Linked DNA regions of Schizosaccharomyces pombe. Changing the gene in region 2 together with the main gene of any one other region gives a genetic interaction. Each region holds a gene or a part of one and is shown on either strand. Other genes may lie near its edges.

Region 1 (7,238 bases), on a different chromosome or scaffold from region 2:
AATGTACCCATAGCCCAAAAAATGCAATGAAACTTTTTACGATCTGTCTTTGACTATTAGTTTGCAGAAAAAAGCATCTGCACAGAAAGACTTCTGGTTCCCCTGAAAAGACTGAAAAAATCCAATAATACCACAAAGGACTTTCCAGACAAACATTGAGAGTTTAAAAATAAAAAAAAACCCCGAATTGGTCATTAAAATAATATAGGTGAAACGACGTATTCGTATGCTCCTTGCTATCATCTTTGACTAGCTCCTCTAGTCGTCTCCCTTAACAACACCAACCTTGGCAGGACGAATAACTCTTCCATTCAATTGAAAACCCTTGCTTTCGCAATGGAAGACAGTGTTGGGCTTTTTACCTTCAACAGGGATTTGGAAAACAGCTTCATGGATGTTAGGATCAAAATCTTCTCCGATACCGTCATAGCGAACTAAACCATATTTTCCTAAGGTTTTCATTAAGTTCGATTCAGTCATTGCTAAACCTTCATAAAGATCAACTAAATCCTTGTTGGACTCACGATTGTTACGCTTCTCCTCTGGAACAATTGAAAGAGCACGCTCCAAATTATCGACAGAATCCAAAAGATCCTTAGTAAGCTTTTGAACAGCAAATGCACGTGTTTGCTCCATGTCTCTCTTCATGCGGTTTTCCAAATTACGATAGTCAGCTAAGCTTTGGCGAATGCTACCCTTTAACTCCGCAACCTCTTTGTCCTTTGCTTCATATTTACTTTTAAGCTCAGAAAGCTTAGATTGAAGTTCCTTAACATCAACATTCTCTGTTTCGGCAACTTTTTCTTCAGCAGGCTTTTCTTCCTTAGCAGCCTCAGTTGAGTACCAAAGGAAACTGCGTTTATTAATGGGTGCTCGAATAAGCGTCCGAGGACGTACAGCGGATGAAAATACTCTTCCAAGCCCAAGCATTGTTTCAGTGAGAGCTTTGTGGTAAAAGACAACTGTGTCACACTATAGACAAATGGTGTTGTGAACTTAGCACTGTTAAATTTTACAAATATCAATTTCATCAACTTAAAAATTCGTTATGTTTCGTTAAATGAGGTATGGACTTTGAGATGGAAGCTGATTCAAAAAATATATAAATGACACTTTTTTCTCAAATTAAAGCTTCTATTTCGATATGTAACAAATTGATTGTAGGTTTGAACATGCATGTAGGAAAGCAACCCAAATTTCGAATTTGCTCAACACTGGAAGCCAACAACGGCTCATATGCTTATCAATTATTAATTTATTCTTTTCAGCTTCATTCTCAACAGATAATAATTAACTGATTTCTCATCTATATTTATATCCTTCTTGGTATGCTTTACGGCATTGGATTATATCGAAGTACTTACTTCGCAGCCTTTGAAAGTAAAATAATTGAATATTATAATTTAAGTTTTAAAATAATCCTATTTGTGTCATCTGGGCCATCTTATTATTTTTACATTCATCAGTTTATTTGCATAATGATATTTGTTGAACAATTTATGGGAGTCGAATTTTCACAAATTCCTATTATAATAATATCATATTCTTAATTACAGAAGTCTTCATAATAAAAGGTACCTTAGTTAAGTGTCAGATATGTCTTATCGGTATTGGACCTTACACTTTCATCCACCATCACTACTTAAACTCAGGAATACATTTGAGGATTGTAGAGGCAGAGCCATAGCTTTCTGTTAAATATTTATCTAAGCTTTGTGAAAATTTACGATTCAACCACTGAACACTTTTAATCGCCTACTAGTCCAGAAGTTGCGCTTTCAAGTAGCACCATACTCTCCTATTTTCCTGCTTGGACGTTTACCTAGATTTTCTAAATACTTATCTCTCTAAATCATGTCTTCACAATCATATCGAGAACGGACACTTGTTTCTGTAATTGGAGACGATGATACCGTTACTGGGATGCTTTTAGCTGGAACTGGTCAGGTAAATGAAAACGGTGACAAAAACTTTTTTATAATTACTCAGAGTAAGATTATCTGTTAAAAAATGGAATCGTGTTTTCGCTAACTTGCTGTTTTATGTAGAGACTACAGATGAGCAGATTGCTGAAGCTTTTGATGATTATACTACGAAAAGGAAGGATATTGCGATTGTATTGATTAACCAGTTTGCCGCTGAAAGAATACGTGATCGTATTGAAAACCATGTGCAGGCATTCCCTGCTGTATTGGAAATTCCTAGCAAAGACGATCCTTATGATCCTGAAAAGGACAGTATCCTCCGTCGTGTTAGAAAGATCATTGGAGAATAGACTATTAATATTTAATTATATTTTTTGAGCAATAATTTCAATTAGTCAACAACTCGATCGATTTGACTGATGACACTTTTATATTTGTATCTTTTGGTTTACTTACTGGCATACTAGCAAAAAATTGTAAGCAGAGTTTTTGTTAAACTATATTTGATAAATAGAAAAGTGATTATAAGAGAAATGTATTATTTTAAGTATAAATCTCATTCAACATCAAAACTGACATTACAACCACAAGAAGTCTTGGCACGTGGATTGTTTAAAAGTTGAAAAGAGGAACCAATAAGTTCATTTGTATACTCAATTTCAGAGCCACTTATCAAAGGTAATGAAATGTTGTCAGCAACAACCCTGGCTTTTCCACGCACAAATACCCTAGATATTTAGTCAATAACCAGGAAATACTTAATTAAAACTTATAGTCTTCTTAACCACATCACTTACGTGTCAGCATTTCCAATTTTGTTGTCCATGCGAAAAGATACTTGATATCCATGGCATCCACCACCATCGACAGTGACGCGCAAAACAGAGTTTTCTTCTGGTTTCCTTTCTGCAATTTTTTCTAACTGTTTTTTCGCTGAATCTTTCACGTATAAAATAAAAGGGATTCCCTTCTCGTCACATTGCTCTTGAAGCGTGAATTGGTCGTTCGCAAGCTTTGAGCTATAAAATCGATTTTTGATTTTGAATTCATTATTTATTTTGGGAAATATTTCTTTCGTTAATGTATTCGATTTCGCATCAATTCTACATGATCGAGAATTTCTAAGCGATCCATGCGATAGCTGTCGAATTGCGATCACAGGATTTAAGAGTGTTTGAAAACAACGTTCTCGAAAGAAAAATGGTCCTTTAAACAATAAGTTTACTCGCGATTTCATAAGCATCACTGCAAAGTATTATAGCCACAAGTTAGGACTTTCTAACTTGTAAACATACAGTAACGTAATAGAAGTCAAATTGCCTACGCTCTGTTTCGTTAATTCAGTATATTCCAAATTGGTGCTTATGTTTATGAGATAGAGAAGTTAAGTACATAAATGAAATAGTCATAACTTGACGAGTGTGTCATAGACTAAAGTCAAATTCAGGGATTTACCTATTAGTTAACACCCAATCTCTAAGAGATTTATATCGGATAGATTGAATTCGAACTTACAAAACTCTCACACCCATAGCTAGTAGAGAATAAGGGGAATTTATCAAATATATCTAGAATTATTTAATGTTCTTTTTTACTTATGTTGTATGCTACTAAATTTTGTGATGATTTATAGTCAAAATTAATATCTTTGGATTATTTTTACCTTTTGGTACTCCTACTCCTTTAATTCTCTTTCAGTTTTAAATGAATAGATTTTTAGCTATTAGAGATAATTTCAACCCATTTGGTTAATTCTTCTTCTGGATATTTATTGTCGATCCTTTAATTCTAGCATAGACCGGTGGATCACATCCAGAAAATGTCTTTATCACAATTGATGCCATTGCTACAATCTTCTACTTTAGCTAATTCTTTATCGTGATACCAGTGTATGTACTACCGCTTAATTACTATAAAGTTGCGGGTGTTCGTACAAGCACATATCACCGCAATTGTAATATTGAATCAGGTATAAGAGATCTTGGCTATTAGACTTAGAATTGGTTGTATCTGCAATAAAAAAAATAAATTATAAATTGCATGCCAATGAACAATAATTCACCCTTGCACGTAATTAATATTTATTAAAATGTAATTTACAATTTAACGTATGGTTGAAAATATTACATGTTTTATTTACTAAGAATTTGCAAAATTTAAAAATAAACAAAACTAGAAAATTAGAAAACTATTTTATTAAAAAAGATTGAAAGGCTGTAAATTAAGACCCTAAAGATGAGTACTGTTAATTTAAATAGATTTAATCTCTTAAAACAACAGCTAAAAAGTTACAGGTATACAAAAAATAATAAAAAAAACTAACAATAATCTAAGAAAGGCTTCTGATATCTTGAAGATCTTTTACTGTTGTATGTAATTTCACAAATAAAATAGAGAATCCATTTAAGCTCTTGAGTTTTAAATGAATATTTGATTCCTTTTTTATTATTATGAATACAAAGGAATTGCTCGATTAATAAAAACTATCAAATTGTTTAGCTTTCTTCATCCACAATCAAATGATTCTATTTTATTAAGGAACTTAATCTTCAAGAAGAAAATTCAGTTTTACATTCCATCTCCCTCTACCCTAAAAAGCTAAAGAATTACAAATATACTCGTATTTACGCGTTTCTCATAAATTCGTTGTAGGACTGGCCTGTCTTACGCTAACTCGTGTAGGTCGTTGTCTACGATACTCAACCAGAACTGCCCCCTATTGTTAGCTATTTGTTTGGTATTTCTACTGGTATTACCGCTACCAGTAAAAAATAAAATCAAAATATGAATGAATTAAAGCATGCGGTAGTTCCGATAGACTTACAATCTTTTTGTCTGGAAGGAACTTTGGCGTTGTGGGTTCCAGCTCTCGAAAACGACTCGGAAGACGATTCTGAAGCTATAGAAACAGCTGATGATAATGAAAAACTTTTTAAAAAGGAATGTGTAGCATATGATGCAGGTGTTTATACCTCAAATAAAAGCAAAGGTTCACAAACTTTACGATGGAGTATATTCCAAAACAGAACACTCACTATCTTTGATGTTTCATTAAATTCTAAGAAGGAGCCTTTATCAAAATTTAATGTGAAAATTCATTTTCCATCCAACGTAATGAAGGACGGTGTAGCTTTCTCGTTCAGTGAGCATTCCGACACGACCATTATATATGCTATTACTCACGCTCGCGTTTTGTATTATATTAGATTATCTAAAACTTGGTTCCAATTACCGGACGCTCGCTTAGACGACGATTGGTGTCTTTGTTACCGACCAATATCCTTTCTGAATCAAAAACCCGATTTAATGGCCGCAATTAGCACGTCTGAAATTTGTGTAAGCTTTTTCAATGGAGGTTTAACAAAGATTATATTAAATCCAAAAGACGCTAGTCACTACGAACAGCATATTGATGATTCTAGTTATTTGTTTTCCCTAAAAAAATATCTATCACTTCAGGCATTTAAGGCAGATTACCGCTCTCCTAATACTATTATTTCAATGATTTTTTTGTCTACCTATAATGTTCTTGTGATGCTATCGCTTGACTATAAGTTAAAAGTTTTGGATTTGTCTACTAATCAATGCGTCGAAACCATTGAACTGTCACAGACTATACTTCCTCTACAATCCTTTCCTTATTTAACTTCAGATCACACCACTAATTCTTTCATCGCTCTGTATTACCCAGATAATTCTCATGGCTCTTTTTCAATTTACAAACTTAACGCAAACGCCCACTCTTTTAAATTAAATGTTGTCATCGAGAAGGGCATAATTCCTCCTTCTTTACCAGACGATGAGTTCATACCATGGATGCTTTCTGATTTTCAACTGATATCGTCAGAGGGCTCTCAATCTAAATTTTTGCTCATTATTGCTTGGAAAAGCAACTTAAATACCGTTATCCAAAAATGCAACCTTAGTCTAGATCAGGACGAGAGTTTTTCATGCGTTTGGAGTCACTCTTTGGATAGCTTTTCCCTCATAGAAAAAACCTTTTTTGACGTTCCAACAAACATGTCGTCTGGGGATATCTCAGAGATTTGGCTACAACACATTTTTGCACATAATACATCTATTGAGTCTATACAAGTTGCTCTTTTAAGCTTTCAAAACAGCTCCTCGCAAGTTTCAAAAAATAAACTGGATAAATTTGGCGCACTTACTATAAGTGAACTTAAAAATGCCGTTTTGTCGTCTATAGTTTCAACGATCCAAATAGAGCCAAATTCAGATTTAACTGGATACGATTATTATGAATATAAGCGGCTATTATATAATGAATGGGAAAGGTTTGCGAAACTTGTTGCATATCTGGATCATTTTGGAGATGAAATATTAAGTATTAACTTCGATCCTTCGAACGCTGTTACATATATCAATTATGCAAATAAAGTGGCTTTTATTAGGGATCCTTATCTCATTGAATCCTTTGACGAAGAGCCGTTGACCAAATTAATTAGTTCCCTTGAAACAGATGATCCTTCTCTAATTGAAGGTTATCAAATTCTGGATCTTGGTAGGAGTTTACATTCCTGTATGTCATTTTCTACTTTATCTGAAATTAGATACTCATTACGAGAACTAGTCCAGGATTTGCCATCTTATTCTTTATTTGATACATTGTGGGTATTTTATGACAAGCACATATATCCCAACGTCGATCCAGATTATATCAGTACTTTAATTGATACTCTAGTTTCTCTTGAAAACCCGATGCGCGACATTGATTCTCTTATCCAACGCTTAAGAAGTTTCGATATTTACAACCATTCCGCTCAATCCCCTTCCTTATTTTTGTGTGCATCGGTAGCACGGGTTTTGGACAGTATTTTGAAAAAGTTTCAAGTCTCTATTGAAGGATTTATTTTTCTACTTTCTTTGATAACTAGCCAGCAGGATTATGAGTTACAATCCAAATTTGCAGGATGTGATAAATTATTTCTTTCTTTACTAGAAGATTGGCGTCTTGTGAGTTTTCTTTTAGAGAATTCTGCACTTTTGCTAGAAAAATTTGAGGAGGAGGATGTTGATTCAACAAACTGTAATTTAAATACTATGGAAGCTTTAGCAAGTGTTAACACAGCCCTTCAGTTTTTTTCCGCTTTGAATTATTCCGAATGTTTCTCAGAAAGCCAAATTTCACCTTTACATGCTACCGTGATATCGTCTTTGTCGGCAATCTTTATAAGGGACGATACGGAAAATGATCTGGTCACTGAACTTGTAGAAAAGTTGTTTCTATTCAAACAATATAATGCATGTATGCAATTAATAGGGTGGCTTAACTCTGACCCAATTGCAGTCTAC
Region 2 (7,901 bases):
CTGGAGAATCCGTTCGGTGAAGGCACAATGATTTCTCAAAAGACTACAACGGTATCTGAGTGGTACAAGAAGACAAATGCATATTTTGGCTTAAAGATTTTTTTTAATCTTCAATTAAGTCTTTAATAAAAATATTTTTTAATTAAAAGACCTAAGATTTTGTAGCATGCTGAAAATAGGCAAAGTTTTAAAAAAGAAATTGATCGTAACACAAGTTGAAAACGTTAGGGTTTATTCTGAATGATTTTATGTGAGGCAGTTTTTAAAATTATTCTCGTATGGTGCTGTATACTGTAAGTTTAAGTAGCCCGCTTTAATACATTGTTAGACATATACTTAGACAAGTATATCCAGCCGTAGCGAAACCAAACCATTTGACTTTTGTGTCCTCGTACCATAGCATCGCGTATGCGCTGAGTAGATTTTCGATCTGCGTGAATGATTATTGTATCGTTTCGACCCGCCTGACTTTGGACAAGAGTGGGAATGGTGTCCAAATATGAGATGTATTTTCGAAATATATTAACCGACTCTAAAACGAAGACTTGAACTTGGGGAGTAGCTTTGACAATTTTCCTATAAACAAGATGATATTAGCTGACAATCGTGTAAATAAGTAATACTTACATGGCACCTTCGTAACATGCGATATGGTTTGGGTGACCGGATATTCCTTTATTGTCAAAGGTAATGAGCTAAAATTATATTAGATGGTCTATTAATTGGATAACTGACCAAAAATAAAGCGTACCGTTTTAATGTTGTAACGTTCAATTATTTGAGAAATGTGTTTCGCTACATCGGTTGGATCCCATTTTGCCTGCATACCGTCTTGCAATTGAGGATCTGACACAACATGAACATTGGTTTTATCAATTTGGTACTTAGAAGCAGCGACGACCAACTCTTTTTCTCTAACGCTTCCGAGCCCATCGGCATTGCCTAAAATCGGAGTTAGTTCGACACATAATTGATAAAATGGAAAACTGGACCAACTGTTTCATACCATTAGAAAGACACAAAACATGAACTCGAGTAGAATGCTGATTGCCTAAATAGTCGATGGTGGGACCAAAAAACATAGATTCATCATCGGGATGAGCAAAGACGAAAAGGATTGATTCAACTGCTAATTTCTCTTGACCAGAAGAGGATTCATTTGCAGTGGATAATACAGCTATTGCGGTAACTAACAAAGTTGACCAAAACCAAATCATAGTGGTGCAATCTTAGTTGGAAATTTCAATAATTTTAATATGAAGAAATCTTTTTTAAACTATCAAATTAATTAAAATGAATAGATTAAAAAAAAAAAGAGATATATGGTTGCCTAGTTTGTTATAGGAGTATACAATGGACTTTTGCAAATGGATGAGGATTACATATGTCATGTTTGAACAATACTGTCAAGAACAAGTTTACACTCAACTCATACGAATTACAAAAAAGCGGATACATTACTTAGTAAATGTTTTACAGCTACATAATATATATGTTATTTCCAGACTTATATAGTTAATTACATTATTCATTACCCTGTGAACTACTATCGCTCAGTGAGACGGATAGGGAAAGAGGCAAAAAACTGTAAAAGTACTTCAAAGGATAAGGTAAAAGTAAGAGGAATATATTTACTTTGGAAAACAGAGAGGACCCAAAGAACATAATAAACTACCATAAGTTGGAGCGGAAGCTATGCATATATTTTATAGAGAACAAATATGAGTTATCAGGAATTTCGGAAAAGAGCCAGGATCCATTATATTTTTACATTCCTTTAATAGAAATAAAGGGCCAAGGGAGCCAGATGGATTGCAAAATCTATATTCATTAAGGAATTTGATTTAGCTGCGTTCTTCTCGAAATCAGAAACTGATTAGTACAATATTAAGTCTTTTATCCCACGATATACTTTTCTAATAAAATAAATATTCTTATAAAACTTTTCTAAAAGTACTGATTTTCTATAATATTATACTGATTTAAGACTTGGAAGAATTCTATATAGCGCAATAGAACGTGGTACGGCTTCTTACACTTTTATCTGCGGCGAATCAATGAGTTGACATTCAAGCTCAAAATTGCCTTATTATAAACACTTTACAATATCCATATTCAAGATGAATTCGATGTTTAGATTTTGGATTCCTAAAACCAGTATATCCATGCAACTTCGCATGCTGTCCACACAAACTCGTCAAGCTCTTGAACAGGCCGTCAAAGAGGATCCTATCGTTTTATTCATGAAAGGTACACCTACCCGCCCAATGTGTGGATTTTCATTAAAGGCGATTCAAATTCTTTCATTAGAAAACGTTGCTTCCGATAAATTAGTTACGTACAACGTTTTGAGTAATGATGAGCTACGTGAAGGTATAAAGGAGTTCAGCGACTGGCCTACGATTCCTCAACTTTATATTAACGGAGAATTCGTGGGCGGTAGTGATATCTTGGCGTCCATGCATAAATCGTAAGTAATGTTTTAAACTGTATTTTTATTATTTGGTAGAGAGACGGTGAGGATTGAGGAGGTGTCATAGGAAATGTTAAAGATGATGAAGGAGGATTCTACAACTGTTTAATCACTCTAGTTGATATTAAAGATAAAAAAACCCTGTTATATTTTCGCTCTTTCTTCAAATGAACTTTCCCTTTTAAAGCATTGGATAAAAATCAACTATTAGTGTATCAGTGTCTTTAATTCGTCGTCTATATATGCCACATTGTTCTCTCCCTCATTTTTTCTCTCATATTTAATTATTTCTCCTTGTCAACATTTCTGTATTAACAATTTGTCTGTAGAGGAGAGCTTCACAAAATTCTAAAAGAAATAAATGCTTTGGCCCCTGAACAGCCAAAGGATAGTGAAGAGGAAACTACTAAAAAGGATTGAGTCCACATTGCAAATTAATTTGCACAACGTACCACGGTCTTGTGCATTTTTTAGTTTATTGGTCAACTTGACACCACAGGCCATGTATATCAATCAGACGTTATTCAATTATCTTTTTGCTGTACGCTTGATATTCTTTAATGAAGCTTTGAAATTCTGTTTCTCCTCTTTTTTGTGTTCATGCCCTTTCATGACAAAATGTTGGAAATAATGTAAAAGAGCTCTATAAGAAAAAATAATTTTTATCGGAAGTTATTTTTTGGATCAACCTCAATATCAATTTGAAAGCGATCATGTTCATGTTCATGTCCATCCAAATGACATAGAGAATGGAAATTAGTGTCGTGATTTATGCCTTATTGTTATTCCTTGACTTTTTTTTTAAAAAAAATGTCGTAAATTAGATTTAATGTTAAAGCGCTATTGCTGAATACTGTTTTATTTTGCTTATGTTGTTGCACAGAACAATGTCTTGGTAGGTGTAATTCACAGAAAGCATTACGATTGGTTATCTGATATGATTTAAAAATTCTTCTTTGATTATATAAAGTACTGGCTTATCGACGTTACGAGACGTTTACCAAACTTTTATTAACAGATGCTTGTGTTTCTTGACAAACAACATTATTCCTTCCAAGCTCAGCATATAGCGAATTATAGTGTAACTGCGATATAAAGTATTAGCGAACTCTCCCTTTTTAATTCTATTCAAATTGCGTTAGTTTGTGTAGCATGTAATGACGGCACGCGCATAGTGAATTGTAATATACAAAACGCTACACCAAAGCGCGCGCTCTAAAACACGCCAAAACGAGGTGCACGCAACTTAGCTTGCGCGAAAGCGCGTTTCTCGCGTCGCGTCGCGTTTACTTCTTTTATATGCTTGCTATGCCTGTCTTTTGCTTTTTCACTGACACTTTGACTTGTGTTGAGTTACAAGAAAGGCTTCAAAGGCACTTGTACAAGTGTAATTTCCCTTTTACAAGACTCTACCAAAGGTTGGATCCACCTTGAAGTCCTTCTCTTGTTGTCGCTGCTTTTTGCGTTTCTTCTTTTCTCTTTGAATATTCCTTCTTTCTAATTTCTTTTTTCAAATACATGCTATAGGGATCAGTTTAGGCTCCATATACTAGGTTGAGCTGGTTTTAACTGTAAACAATAGTAAATTAAGCTTTCAGTATTTTGAGTGTCAAGCTAGTTTTTACTCCGGAGTATCTTATTTCTACTGTACTTATTTTCTTTTAATTAATTTTTTACACTTTTCAGCTGCTAAGTGTCGGTTTCTATTGTGTACTTTACCGTTTTAAGTTTCTTTGTTTTCTTTGTTCTGGTTCGCTTATTGTCCTACTCTTTTACAGGAGGCGCTTGCCAAAGACAGTCATTTCTCTTATAACAAGTACACTATATCTTATTAAAACATAATTAATCGTCCCCTTTCGATATTAGTGCAACAATTGCTATCCTACAGTCTTCCCAATTGCAATTTATTTAGCCTTTCAGCATTGCTCTCGCCCTCAAGCTGAAAAGGTTTTACTCGCTTTTCTTGCTGGAAAAATAACACCTACATTTGTTATTCTTTTAAATTCGAACTATCAAACTTATTTGCTTGTATTGTTCGTCTTAGTGCTGCTTTTTCTGATCCATCGTTTGTTTATCAAACCTTCAACTTTGCTTTTTCTAAACTAATTACAAAGAAGTGTTCTTTTTAATTCTCTTCGTTAATCATTGTCCCTTTAAACTACGCTCTTGTGCTTTATAAGAGTTAATTCTGCATACCTCAAAGAGGTAAATTCATTTTCGAATCGAACGTTAAAAAATTTATCTTTACTTTTTTTTCTTTCTCAATTTTGATTACATCTGCTTGTTTTTTTTTTTCGTTTATATCCACAACAGTAGGTTGGTTTGGTTTGTTTACACAATTCATTTGTTTATGTTTGGACGATTTCTTTCCCTTTCTTCCTATCAACAACAATAGAATAATTCGGACCCATTGATTTATTCTCATTTAAAAGAGAAACTTTAAAAATTCGCTATAAGTGCTTTCTGTTTCTCGATCGCTCAATTTCCCTAATTTATCCATCTTGTCAATTGAGATTAATTTACCAAAAACAGTTTCCTTATTTTAATAAAAAGAAGACATTTTTGGTTACAAACAATCAGATATATTTCTATACGTTGATAAAAGGGTAATTTATCAATCCATATTTCATATGGCTCTCTATTCAATTTCAAAGCCTGTTGGTTCTAAAATCAATAAGCATAGTTATCAAGATGAAAACACACTTGTTGGCAAACAAGCTTTATCAAAAGGGACTGAGAAGACAAAATTATCTACAAATTTTGAAATTAATCTGCCACGTCGAACTGTCCTATCTGATGTTTCCAATGTAGGTAAAAATAATGCTGATGAGAAGGATACGAAAAAAGCGAAAAGATCGTTCGATGAATCTAATTTATCTACAAATGAAGAAGCTGATAAACCTGTCGAATCTAAATTCGTGAAAAAGTTGAAAGTTTATAGCAAAAATGCGGATCCATCTGTAGAAACTTTACAAAAGGACAGAGTCTCTAATGTTGATGATCATTTATCCTCCAATCCTTTGATGGCTGAGGAATACGCACCCGAAATATTTGAGTACATCAGAAAGCTGGATTTAAAGTGTCTTCCCAATCCAAAATATATGGACCAACAAAAAGAATTAACCTGGAAAATGAGGGAAATTTTGAATGAATGGTTGGTGGAAATACATTCCAACTTTTGTTTAATGCCCGAAACCCTTTATTTGGCAGTCAATATAATTGATCGATTCTTGTCGCGTCGTTCATGCTCTTTGTCTAAATTTCAATTAACAGGCATTACTGCTCTTCTCATCGCTAGCAAATATGAGGAGGTTATGTGTCCTTCGATACAAAACTTTGTTTACATGACTGATGGTGCTTTTACCGTAGAAGATGTCTGTGTCGCTGAACGTTATATGTTAAATGTTCTCAATTTTGACTTGTCCTATCCAAGTCCTTTAAATTTTCTTCGCAAAATATCTCAAGCAGAAGGTTATGATGCACAAACAAGGACATTGGGGAAATACCTAACAGAAATTTATCTGTTTGACCACGATTTATTACGATATCCTATGTCTAAAATTGCTGCTGCCGCAATGTATTTGAGCCGCCGATTATTGCGTCGCGGCCCATGGACGCCAAAGTTAGTTGAAAGCTCTGGTGGGTATGAAGAGCATGAATTAAAGGAGATAGCGTATATTATGCTTCATTATCATAACAAGCCTCTAGAACACAAAGCCTTTTTCCAAAAATACTCCTCAAAAAGGTTCCTGAAGGCTAGTATTTTTGTTCATCAACTCGTCCGTCAACGATACTCAGTCAATCGTACGGACGATGATGACCTTCAATCAGAACCGTCTTCTTCTTTAACAAATGATGGTCACTAACGAACGCTCTTATAAATTTTCTTACGCAAATATTCTGTTGAATATGAGGTTGAGCTCTTCTTTTATTATTTATTATCATAACTTATTTACTTTTTAAAGAGCTTCTTTTTCTTCTTCTCTTTCTTTGAATCTTATCATCTTTATGCAAGGACTGTTTTCAAGTATGTCATCAAGCCTTTCCTCCTTGATAACTAAGTCCTTAATTATATACCATATACCCAAGTTTTATCCAAGAGTTTTAGAATTGAAAATTTTGTAGTCTACTAAACAAACCGTGTTGATGCTTAATCCTCACACATTGTCTTTTAGATGATTCCGTTGATTCTAGAGTATTCGATAATTTCATTCCTTACTTTATGTTACGTTTACATTTTTTATTTCAAAATACGTGTACGTTGTTTCCTCATATTTCTGTTAAACAACATGTTTCTAATTAATGGAGTTTTCTTTATTCATTCATAAAACTTAAAGCTCAAGCGGTATATAACAAACTGGCTAAACCATTAATAGGCAAAAACCAAGTAACTCATAAAGATAAACAAAGAAAGTAGACATAAGGAAAAAGGTAAAGCTGACTCGTTTTCTATACAAAAAGGGAATTTTTAAACCTAAGAAACAAACTTTTAATTGATAACAAATATAGAAAAAGAAGGCGATTTCCAACGAGAATAAGGAAATAAAAAAGAAAAATTCGATAATAGAATCACTGTTATTCTGTCTCATACATTCGTCTTAAATTAATGAACATTTGAGCTTTTTTTATCGAGAGCTTGGCGATTGTGAGAAATCCAAATGTCATGCCCACCTAATCGTCCGCTGGCTTCACTAACAAGTGTTGAGATAGGAATCATTAAAGCTACGCTAGTAGCTGAAGAAACAGAAGGTGAACGGATCTTCATAAATCTCTGTTTTACACGGGGACGAAGACGTTCAGGAAGCGCTTCCATCTGTTTATCAAATTTGGAGTTGTTGAGTAGGTGGCGTATCCTTCCTCCTCTAATGCGTTGAACGAAGCCAAGGGAATGACGAATAGAGTCAATAACTTCGTTGGGAGATGTGGGTTCATACGGGATAAGACTAAGGGATTCAACATCATGATCGGTTGAACGGCGCTTAGAACGGAACCTAGGATTTAGAATCCAAGAGAAAACAGTGTCAATTGTCTTAACCGGAAGGACCTTTCTTAGGAAATTGTTTGGTACACAACGAATCAAGGCTCCAAGTGGGATAGAGATAACACCAAACACGATGGAAATCGCCCATCCTTTACCATCGATTCTTTTTACGGAGAATGCGGCACCTCCGAAAAAAACAATTATAACTTGGATACCAGCAACAATAACGAAAATAGCAATAAAGAGGAAGTTATGGTTAATACGTTCAAAAATATTGAGCTTGTTATCCAATCTCCGATTGTTAATTTCGTTAAACAGCTGGAGCCAGACAAAGGTATTGAAAACAATAGTATTCATGTCCGCAGTATTGGAAGGGTAATGGAAGATACTATTACCAGCAAAGTGTAGCACCAAAGTAACAGCAAGTTGGTACATAGATTGACAAAT

Evidence for each region. A genetic interaction does not mean that the proteins touch.
Region 1: of grx5 (region 2) and isa2, extra expression of one rescues a mutant of the other (dosage rescue), as found in Schizosaccharomyces pombe (one study listed by BioGRID).

The regions. Positions count from the first base shown.
Region 1 is NC_003423.3:4,016,239-4,023,476, reverse strand, and holds isa2 (Fe-sulfur protein Isa2), read right to left. Parts: upstream 3,206-7,238; 5' UTR 3,169-3,205; coding exon 2,723-3,168; exon of another isoform or gene 2,685-2,722; intron 2,654-2,684; coding exon 2,482-2,653; 3' UTR 2,370-2,481; downstream 1-2,369. Other genes in the region: GrpE domain-containing chaperone mge1, read right to left, coding at 259-930; vma7 (V-type ATPase V1 subunit F), read left to right, coding at 1,855-1,990, 2,049-2,275; nucleoporin, WD repeat Nup120, read left to right, coding at 4,710-7,238. UniProt on the Schizosaccharomyces pombe protein: Involved in the assembly of mitochondrial and cytoplasmic iron-sulfur proteins. Probably involved in the binding of an intermediate of Fe/S cluster assembly.
Region 2 is NC_003424.3:2,705,977-2,713,877, forward strand, and holds grx5 (mitochondrial [2Fe-2S] cluster assembly and transfer glutaredoxin Grx5), read left to right. Parts: upstream 1-2,071; 5' UTR 2,072-2,120; coding exon 2,121-2,470; exon of another isoform or gene 2,471-2,802; coding exon 2,803-2,893; 3' UTR 2,894-3,333; downstream 3,334-7,901. Other genes in the region: gpi12 (pig-L family GPI synthesis protein), read right to left, coding at 300-576, 628-695, 752-942, 1,007-1,217; G1/S-specific B-type cyclin Cig2, read left to right, coding at 5,104-6,339; P2 type calcium transporting P-type ATPase Pmc1, read right to left, coding at 7,077-7,901. UniProt on the Schizosaccharomyces pombe protein: Monothiol glutaredoxin involved in mitochondrial iron-sulfur (Fe/S) cluster transfer. Receives 2Fe/2S clusters from scaffold protein isu1 and mediates their transfer to apoproteins, to the 4Fe/FS cluster biosynthesis machinery, or export from mitochondrion.